Coturnix japonica: one gene and its partner. The protein of the gene in region 1 purifies or fractionates together with the protein of each later gene. This does not show direct contact. Links are inferred from orthologs where the notes say so. Each region holds a gene or a part of one and is shown in the gene's direction. Other genes may lie near its edges.

Evidence for each region. Proteins that work in one complex are often made in the same cells at the same time.
Region 2: the proteins of DCP1B (region 1) and BAG4 purify together in Homo sapiens (affinity purification with mass spectrometry; 3 studies listed by BioGRID and IntAct, counting the BioPlex papers as one, with this or other methods). This does not show direct contact. The link is inferred for Coturnix japonica from reciprocal best matches to the Homo sapiens genes DCP1B and BAG4.

Annotation. Positions count from the first base shown.
Region 1 is NC_029516.1:51,556,138-51,559,637, forward strand, and holds part of DCP1B (mRNA-decapping enzyme 1B), read left to right. Parts: intron 1-1,238; coding exon 1,239-1,367; intron 1,368-2,132; coding exon 2,133-2,969; intron 2,970-3,500. UniProt on the Homo sapiens protein: May play a role in the degradation of mRNAs, both in normal mRNA turnover and in nonsense-mediated mRNA decay. May remove the 7-methyl guanine cap structure from mRNA molecules, yielding a 5'-phosphorylated mRNA fragment and 7m-GDP.
Region 2 is NC_029537.1:3,645,694-3,649,642, forward strand, and holds the start of BAG4 (BAG family molecular chaperone regulator 4), read left to right. Parts: upstream 1-1,149; coding exon 1,150-1,371; intron 1,372-1,448; coding exon 1,449-1,529; intron 1,530-1,740; coding exon 1,741-1,974; intron 1,975-2,291; coding exon 2,292-2,516; intron 2,517-2,828; coding exon 2,829-3,335; 3' UTR 3,336-3,949. Other genes in the region: U6 snRNA-associated Sm-like protein LSm1, read right to left, coding at 1-156, 227-342, 898-966, 1,106-1,151. UniProt on the Homo sapiens protein: Inhibits the chaperone activity of HSP70/HSC70 by promoting substrate release. Prevents constitutive TNFRSF1A signaling. Negative regulator of PRKN translocation to damaged mitochondria.

The DNA of each region.
Region 1 (3,500 bases):
TTTCAGTCCTAACTGTCTGCTTACCTAGTCTGCATTTTAATCTTCAGTTTGCATCATTTTTGCATCAGTTTGTCTTTGAGGATGTTATGTGTCAAAGGCTTTGCTAAAGTCAAGCTAAACGATATGCACTGCTCTGCCATTGCCCGCTGAGTCACTCATCTCCCTCTAGAAGGCCATGAGATTGATCAAGTAAATCCATTCTGGATATTCCCACTCACGTTATTTACCTTAACATGTTTCGAAGTGGCTTCCAGGAACATTTCTTCCATCACCATCCCATAGACTGAGGTGAGGCAAACTGGCCTGAAGTTCTGCAAATTCTCCTTCTTGCCCTTTGAAGATAGGAGTGATACTTGTTTTCTTCTAGTCCTAAGCTGTAGATACCTTTTAAAAATATATATTAAAAAATCTCAGTTTCTTGGTTTTAATCATATCTAGATACAGTGACTTCTTAAGTAGTATTTTCTTTTATACTGACAATAGCATTTCTTGTACATCCATTACGTTTTAATTTTGTTGTCTAGATCCTTGTTTTGGGTACAGTGTAAACAGAACTATCTTATTCACTTTTTCCTATTCCATATTTTCTTTCTCTTTTCATGCAGTTCTTTCTGCACATTTTTTTTTTTTCTCCTGAATTAAATGATGGCCTCTCTATGACTACTTTTGGTCATCTGTCTCTGCCTGCTCATTTATAAATGCAGTTATTAATCATGTCATATTTAATAGGGAAACATGCTGATCTACAACTTGATTAAATCTTTAATTATTTTTCTGTGTGAGTATACAAGTTCCCATGTTTGTGGAATGTTTAAGTAAAATAGTTTGGCTTAAAATTTCAGTATTTAGCAAAAAGCATTTTGGATACTCTTTGTGTGCACATAAATCCCTGTGTCTAAACTACGTGAGACTATTAAAGGAATAGCTGATTCCCAGTGCAGGAAAAATGGGTCTGAGTTTGTGCTAAGTGCAGGACAAGCAAAAGATGAGAACTGAGTTTCAAGCTAAAGGGAAAACTTGTGCTCAGAAAACCTTGAAATTGTTTATTTTTACATATGTTTTTTGATTTTAGAAAGCCAGGTTGTAGTTCTTTCAACAGCATAACAACTCATAATCAGTGCCACGGCCGTCATTTTTGGTAACCGAATACCCAGCTATGTCTGGATTTTACTCTGGTAAAGAACTAAGAGGAAAAAGTACAGTAACACTTAGTAAAAAATACTGATTTTCTGTTTCAGTGCAAGACCTGTTCGGAGCCAAAACAAATAACTAGTTCCTCTGCAATCTGTAACAACCCCAACCTAATCAAACCAATTCCAGTGAAGCCTAGTGAAAATCAGCATCAACGAATATCTCAGCAAAGCAAGGTAAAGTGCTCTGTGTGTGTTCTAGTGTTGATGTAATTGAGCAGCCAACTAGGAGTACTTACTTAGATCATAAGGTCAGTGCAAGAATTTGTGGTAAAATCACAGTAAGGATTATTTTTTAAATGCAGAACTGATCTATTTATAAAACAGTCTGCTTCCATCCCCACCGATCTGAGTATTTAAGTTCCAGATGTACCATCCTGATGCAGCAGTGAAAAATAAATAAAAAATAAATAAAAAACCACCTTGTTTTTCAGTGTTGGGATGCTGCTTTGATCCCAAGCTGGTGTTGTCAGTTGCTGAACTGCATTTTTTGTGTTCGTTGTCTTCAAGGGAATTTTAGGTAATCTAAATAAGAAAAGTCTTTTGATACATCTTCAAACTATACCATATTGCAAAAGCTGAATTCAGTCAGCTGTGACAAGGGGGTGCGCAAGTAGTGACCTTGCTCTGCACAGGGGGAGGTTTTTGTTCTTTATTAATGCTGTACGGATGGCAGGAAGGGTAGATGCTCTTTTATGGTATTTAAAGTGAAACCACTGCTATCTTTCAGATTCATTTTTTTCTCCCACATTAGCAGCTTGACAACTGTTTTCTTGCCCTTCTGATGCGACTGAACTATTAGAAATTCTCTTGGGAGAAAAGAGCATAGCAGTTTTCTTGGCTTTTTCTTGAATACTTCTGGCTAAATATTGTCACCACCTAATGTGATTTATCATGCATGAGATAACTACGCCTAAGATTTTTTTCTTTGTCCCTTCACAGAATGCGGATCCTGAACCACAACACTTGTCTTTGACAGCCCTGTTTGGAAAACAAGAGAAAACAGATGTCACAGAACCACTTAATAAACAGCATCAAGAGAACCTTCCTGTTAGGCAGGGTGTGGTACGTTCTCTCTCCTATGAAGAACCTAGCAGGCATTCTCCCTGTGCAGAGAAACAGCTTTGCCCTGCTATTCAGAAGCTCATGGTGCGTGGGACAGACCTTCACCCACTTGCTGAGTTTCCTGAGAACCGACTCTGTGAAAATGGCAATATCCACCCTGTGGGTGAGGCTTTCACAGGACTCTTCCAGCCTGTGACTTCTCATGGCATTACAACATCTCACGTAGTTCAGGATGCTGCTGGTACTCAGAGTTTGTTACAGAAATTACAGAGTCAGTCAGGGTTGATGACCAAAATGGATCCCAGTGCAACAGGATCTGTGAACTCAACGGCTTCTGTGTTCAGCAGGACTCCTGCTGCTGTTGGAACACCAGCAGCACAGATGAGTAATATGACCCAACCACCTTTGGTATATTTCAATGGTTCCCTGCCAGGTCAGACTTTAGAGTCACAGACACTTGGTAAAGAACAGTCCAAACTTCCTAGACAGCCAGTTCCTCTCTCTGGCAATCAAACAGCCAATTCTGGGGTGATATCACCTCAGGAGTTACTGAAGAAACTCCAGATAGTGCAACAAGAACAGTTGCATGTATCCAGCAGACCAACCTTGGCAGCTAAGTTTCCTGTTGTTACTCAGAACACCAACACCTTGAAACCACTGGATTCCTGGATAGAAAAGACACCGGGTACAGAAAAGCAGAACTCTCTCTTTCAGGTAAATAAATAATTTCAAAAACAGTTTTATCAGTTTTTATAAGCTTTTAAGGGATATTCTCTATGTTTCTTTTTGACCAGTATATTCTTCTTTCTGCCTTACTATGTGTTGTTATCTTGCACACATGATTCATTTTGCTGGTGATAGTTTATCAACAGCGTAAGGAAGTTCTAATTTACCAAGCAGTGATATCTTAAATACCAAAGAAGATGTCTCCTGTACATCAGTAATAGCAAAAAATACTGCAGTATTTATGTAGCTCTTCTTTGTTTTTCAGACAAGTTTGGAAACATCGTGTAGGTTTCAGTGGCCACACTTTGTAATGTTTTAGGTATAACAATATTTTTTCCTCACAAAATTAGTCATAACTTTTGATGTGAAGGTAAGAGTTTCCTTTTGTGCCAGTTGCTAAAAGTGCTTACAATGCTGAAAGGCTGCTTTCTTTCTCCCAGCAGGTTAATAAAGTATTTTTATATTGCTGAATTCATTATCTTGGACCATAACCTCACTCCAAGCTGTTCAGTAGTTTTG
Region 2 (3,949 bases), on another chromosome or scaffold:
CGTGTCAGCCCTGGGCACCGCCAGGCCTCTCTCCTTCAACGCCTGCACCTTCAGCTTCTCCGACTCCTGCTTGGCTTGCAGCTCCAACCTTTGCTCCTCCAGGATCTCCTCGATGGAAACCTGCTGCAGCAACGTGTCGCTCTCCTTCTCCAGGTCCTGCAAAGCAAAGAGCTGTTGTTAAGCAGAGCTGCAGGGTGAGGGGCTGCAGGGCACGGGGCTCACTCACAATCTCCCCCAGCAGCACCACGTTCTCCCCTCTCACAACGAAGATCCCTCGAGGGATGTCCCCATATTTCTTGCCCACGTGAATTCGCTCCACTGTCTGATGCAGCACCAGGTTGGCTGTGGGGATAGAGAAAAAAACACCCCGTTTTTAACCAGTTTTTTACCAAAACCACCCAGTTTTTCACCAAACAGAGCACCTCACCTGAAACAACCCATAGCCTAAAGCATAGGGAGCAGCTGGATTGCATTATAGCACTATAATCCTATATGCTGAGCATCCCCTAAACAACATGATCCCCCAAACCCAGCCACTATAGGACCCCAAAGCAGCCACTACCTATAGCTGATAAAGGGATCCCTGGTGCTATAGGGTAAAGAATGAGGGGCTCAGCTATAGGCACAAGTGAATGGGGAAGGGGGGAAAGGGGGGTAGGGAGAAGAGGGGTAAAGGGAGGTAAAGACTGGGGGGCTCAGCCATAGGCACAAGTCAATGGGGGGATGAACTTAGTGCTGCCCTAAGGGGGGAATATAACATGGGGTGGGGGTCCAACATGACAAGGGATGGGGGAACCACAAACTGGGTTCCTATCGGAGCCATATGGGTTCTATTAAGCCCTGATCCGGTGTCGTTCCCGGTGCTGCCCCCCCTATCCCCCCCCATTATATCCGTACCGAACTGATCGATGCTGCGTAGGAATCCGATCAGCGTCCGGCCGTCCCGCAGCAGAACCAGGTGTTTCTCTATGGGGAAAGGGATCAAGCGGGGGTACGGAACATCGGTCCCAATGGGAACCAAGGGGAAAACCGGGGTCCCCCGCGTCCGGGTCCCGGTTTTCCCCTTGGTTCCTTATTGAATGAATAGAACCTCGGTCACACTCACTGTCAATGTCCTGGATGAGGCTTGCAGTACCCGGCATGTAGTTCATGGTGGCGGAACCGCCCCACGTTGGGCGGTACTTAGCGATGCACTGTCCCTTTAAAAGCGGCGCCGGTAGTGCGAGCGGGGCTGCCTTTCATTGGTTACATCCAGGGGTCCTCGCATCCTATTGGTCGCATGGTGGGGGCCTTTTATCCTTGTGTCGCGCTGTGGGGTGGGCTACAGCGTGCCGGGTTGAAAACATGGAGCACCGCGGTCGTACCGGGCAGGTAAAGGGGGGGGGGGAACCGAGCACAGCCCGTTATCCCGTTATCACTGCTCCATATAATGGGGTTTTTCCTTATAGGAGCCACCAGGCCCCGGCTTCAACCCCGGTTATTGGAGCCCAGCGTTCGGTTTTGGGGCCTACACCGACGGAGCGGACTCGGTATGTTGGGTTTGGGGGATGAGGGTCCATTTCCATCCCCCTCCCGTCCATTAAGGCTTTGACCGAGCTGTGCTTCATTTCTATGCCATAGGATACAATGGGCTTCAAGCCCCACTTGTTTCCTACAGCTCAGTACAGAAATAACCCATTAAATATCCTAACACACATTTCAGCTCATTTTCTTTCTCTTTTTCCCTTTTCTCCTCCCCAGGCTATGGACTCACCCTACACCAACGGATCCTACAGCGCCCCATACCCTCCCCATTACACCTCACTGCCACAAACACGAACCTACAGCACTTCAGGTCCATCCTACAGCACCGACAGCTCAGCCCCATATCGACCCCCCCCTCCTGCCCCTCCCTGGGGCTGTGGCACACAGGACTGCCCAGCAGAGGGATGCTCAATGCGCAGGCAAAAGGCTGCTGGGTATTCCCCACCGCAGGTAAGAAACCATTTAGGGTGTGCACAGCAAAGCGAGAGCTCCTGTGCTGCTCACCCCATAGAGGGTGAACCCACAGTGCACCCTAATTGGGCCCAAATGGCTTCTATGTCCCACCCAGCTCGCCCTGCTTGCTCTTGTAAGAACTTGGAGTTGCCCCTTTCTGCTGGGAGCTCTGAGGTCACGAGCTTTGGAGCAGAAAGCAGCAGCAGTCCCAGTGCTGGGGCTCATCCCAGTGCTGGGGCTCATCCCAGAGCTTCCTTCTGCCACAGGCATTGGGAGCTGACTTAGGACTTACATCTGTCCCCCTCTCCCCACAGACCCCAGGGATGCCCGTTCCTCAGTATCCATATGGAGACCACAGCCCCGGGGCCAACCCACAGCCCAGGGCTCAGGAGGAGGCGTGGGCTCCCCCTCACTATGGGGTGCAGGCACGGTATGCATGGCCTGCAGCTCCAGCACATGGGAATCCATTCCTCTCTGAATCACAACCACCCTGGACTGGCAGCAGGACTGCAGCTCATCCTCCTGTGTGGGACTCGAAGGTACAGTGATGCTTTAATGGCTCTGACACAAAGATTCTGGCTGTAGCCAGAGCTCAGCTCATGCTGCCTTCCCCCGCAATACACACATGCAGCTGCTCAGTGCTCCTTTCTCCAAGCACAGTTTGCTTCCAGGAGACAAAAACAAAGCAGCGGTTCTAAGTACTGCCAGCAAAATCACCTGCTTATATATCCAAACTGCCATTGAAGAAAGCACTGGAGATAGCAGACCCTGAGAGGCGGGTCTTGAAGTGGAGCAGATCTCATTTAATGCCTCTGTAATGTAGACTCTTTTTTTTCCCCTTCTGATTGTAGGAATCTGCTTATGACAAACCTGATCCGAGTGCAAACCAACACTGCTACTATTCTGACAGCAATCACCAGCACCCTGGGACAATGAATGACCACAAACCACCCTCCCTGCTGCATAACTCCAAGTCATCTCCCTCCAACCCCAAGGTACAATACAGTGCACAGCCCCAGATGTACAACAGTGCAACTCGGAGGCAGCTGGCTGGGAACCAGGAGGCAGGTTGCAAAGCTGGCAATCACACTGCAATGAATTCTGCAGCCATCCAGCCAGAGATACAGAGGATCCTACAGGTCACAGAGCAGGCTGAAGAGTTAGAACAAGAGGTGGATGAATTTGTAGGGAAAAAGACAGATAAATCCTACAGGCTTCTGGAGGAGATGCTGACCAAGCTGCTGTTAGAACTGGATTCCATTGAGACTGGTGGGCAGGATGGTGTCCGACAGGCCAGGAAAGAAGCTGTCCATAGAATTCAGGCCATACTGGAAAAACTGGAAAGGAAAGGATTGTGAAAGCAAATCAGCCACAATGCAGCCTGTTGTGGAGGTTCCAAAGAGTTAATCCAAATCTCAGCTCTTTCTGCTAAGCACTACTGATAATGAGAAAGCAATAAGACTTGATTGAAAAGAAGAAACAACCCTAAACCCACAGGAAAGCCCAGCCCCGACCAACAGCTCAGCATTGGACCAATGAAGAGAAGATGAAAGCAGCAAATTGAGTTGTTTGCTCTGGGATGTGAAGAAGCAGCACCACCTGAAGGTGTTTAGCACTGGGTTGTCTGTGTCCTTCATCCAGCAAGAAGAAAATCACTGCACAAAGTTCCCCAAACCGGGTCCAAATCCACCCAAATCCATGGTACCTCGTGGAGCCACAGCTGCAGCACTTGTCACATGCATCACCATAAATGAAGGTCCATCAGTGCGTGTGCTTTCAGCTTCAGATCCCTTACCCACAAAAGCTGGTTTGTGTCATCCCGGGGTTCTCTTTTTGTTTCCAATGCGCTCCCTGTAGCTCTGCTGATGTGAAGCTGTTCTGTGATGCCGTGTGGATGTGGGAACATAGCCTGGAACTCTGAGTTTTTCACCTGGAAAAGCCAGTTGCAGGCAGAGCCGTGCAGCCCTGGACA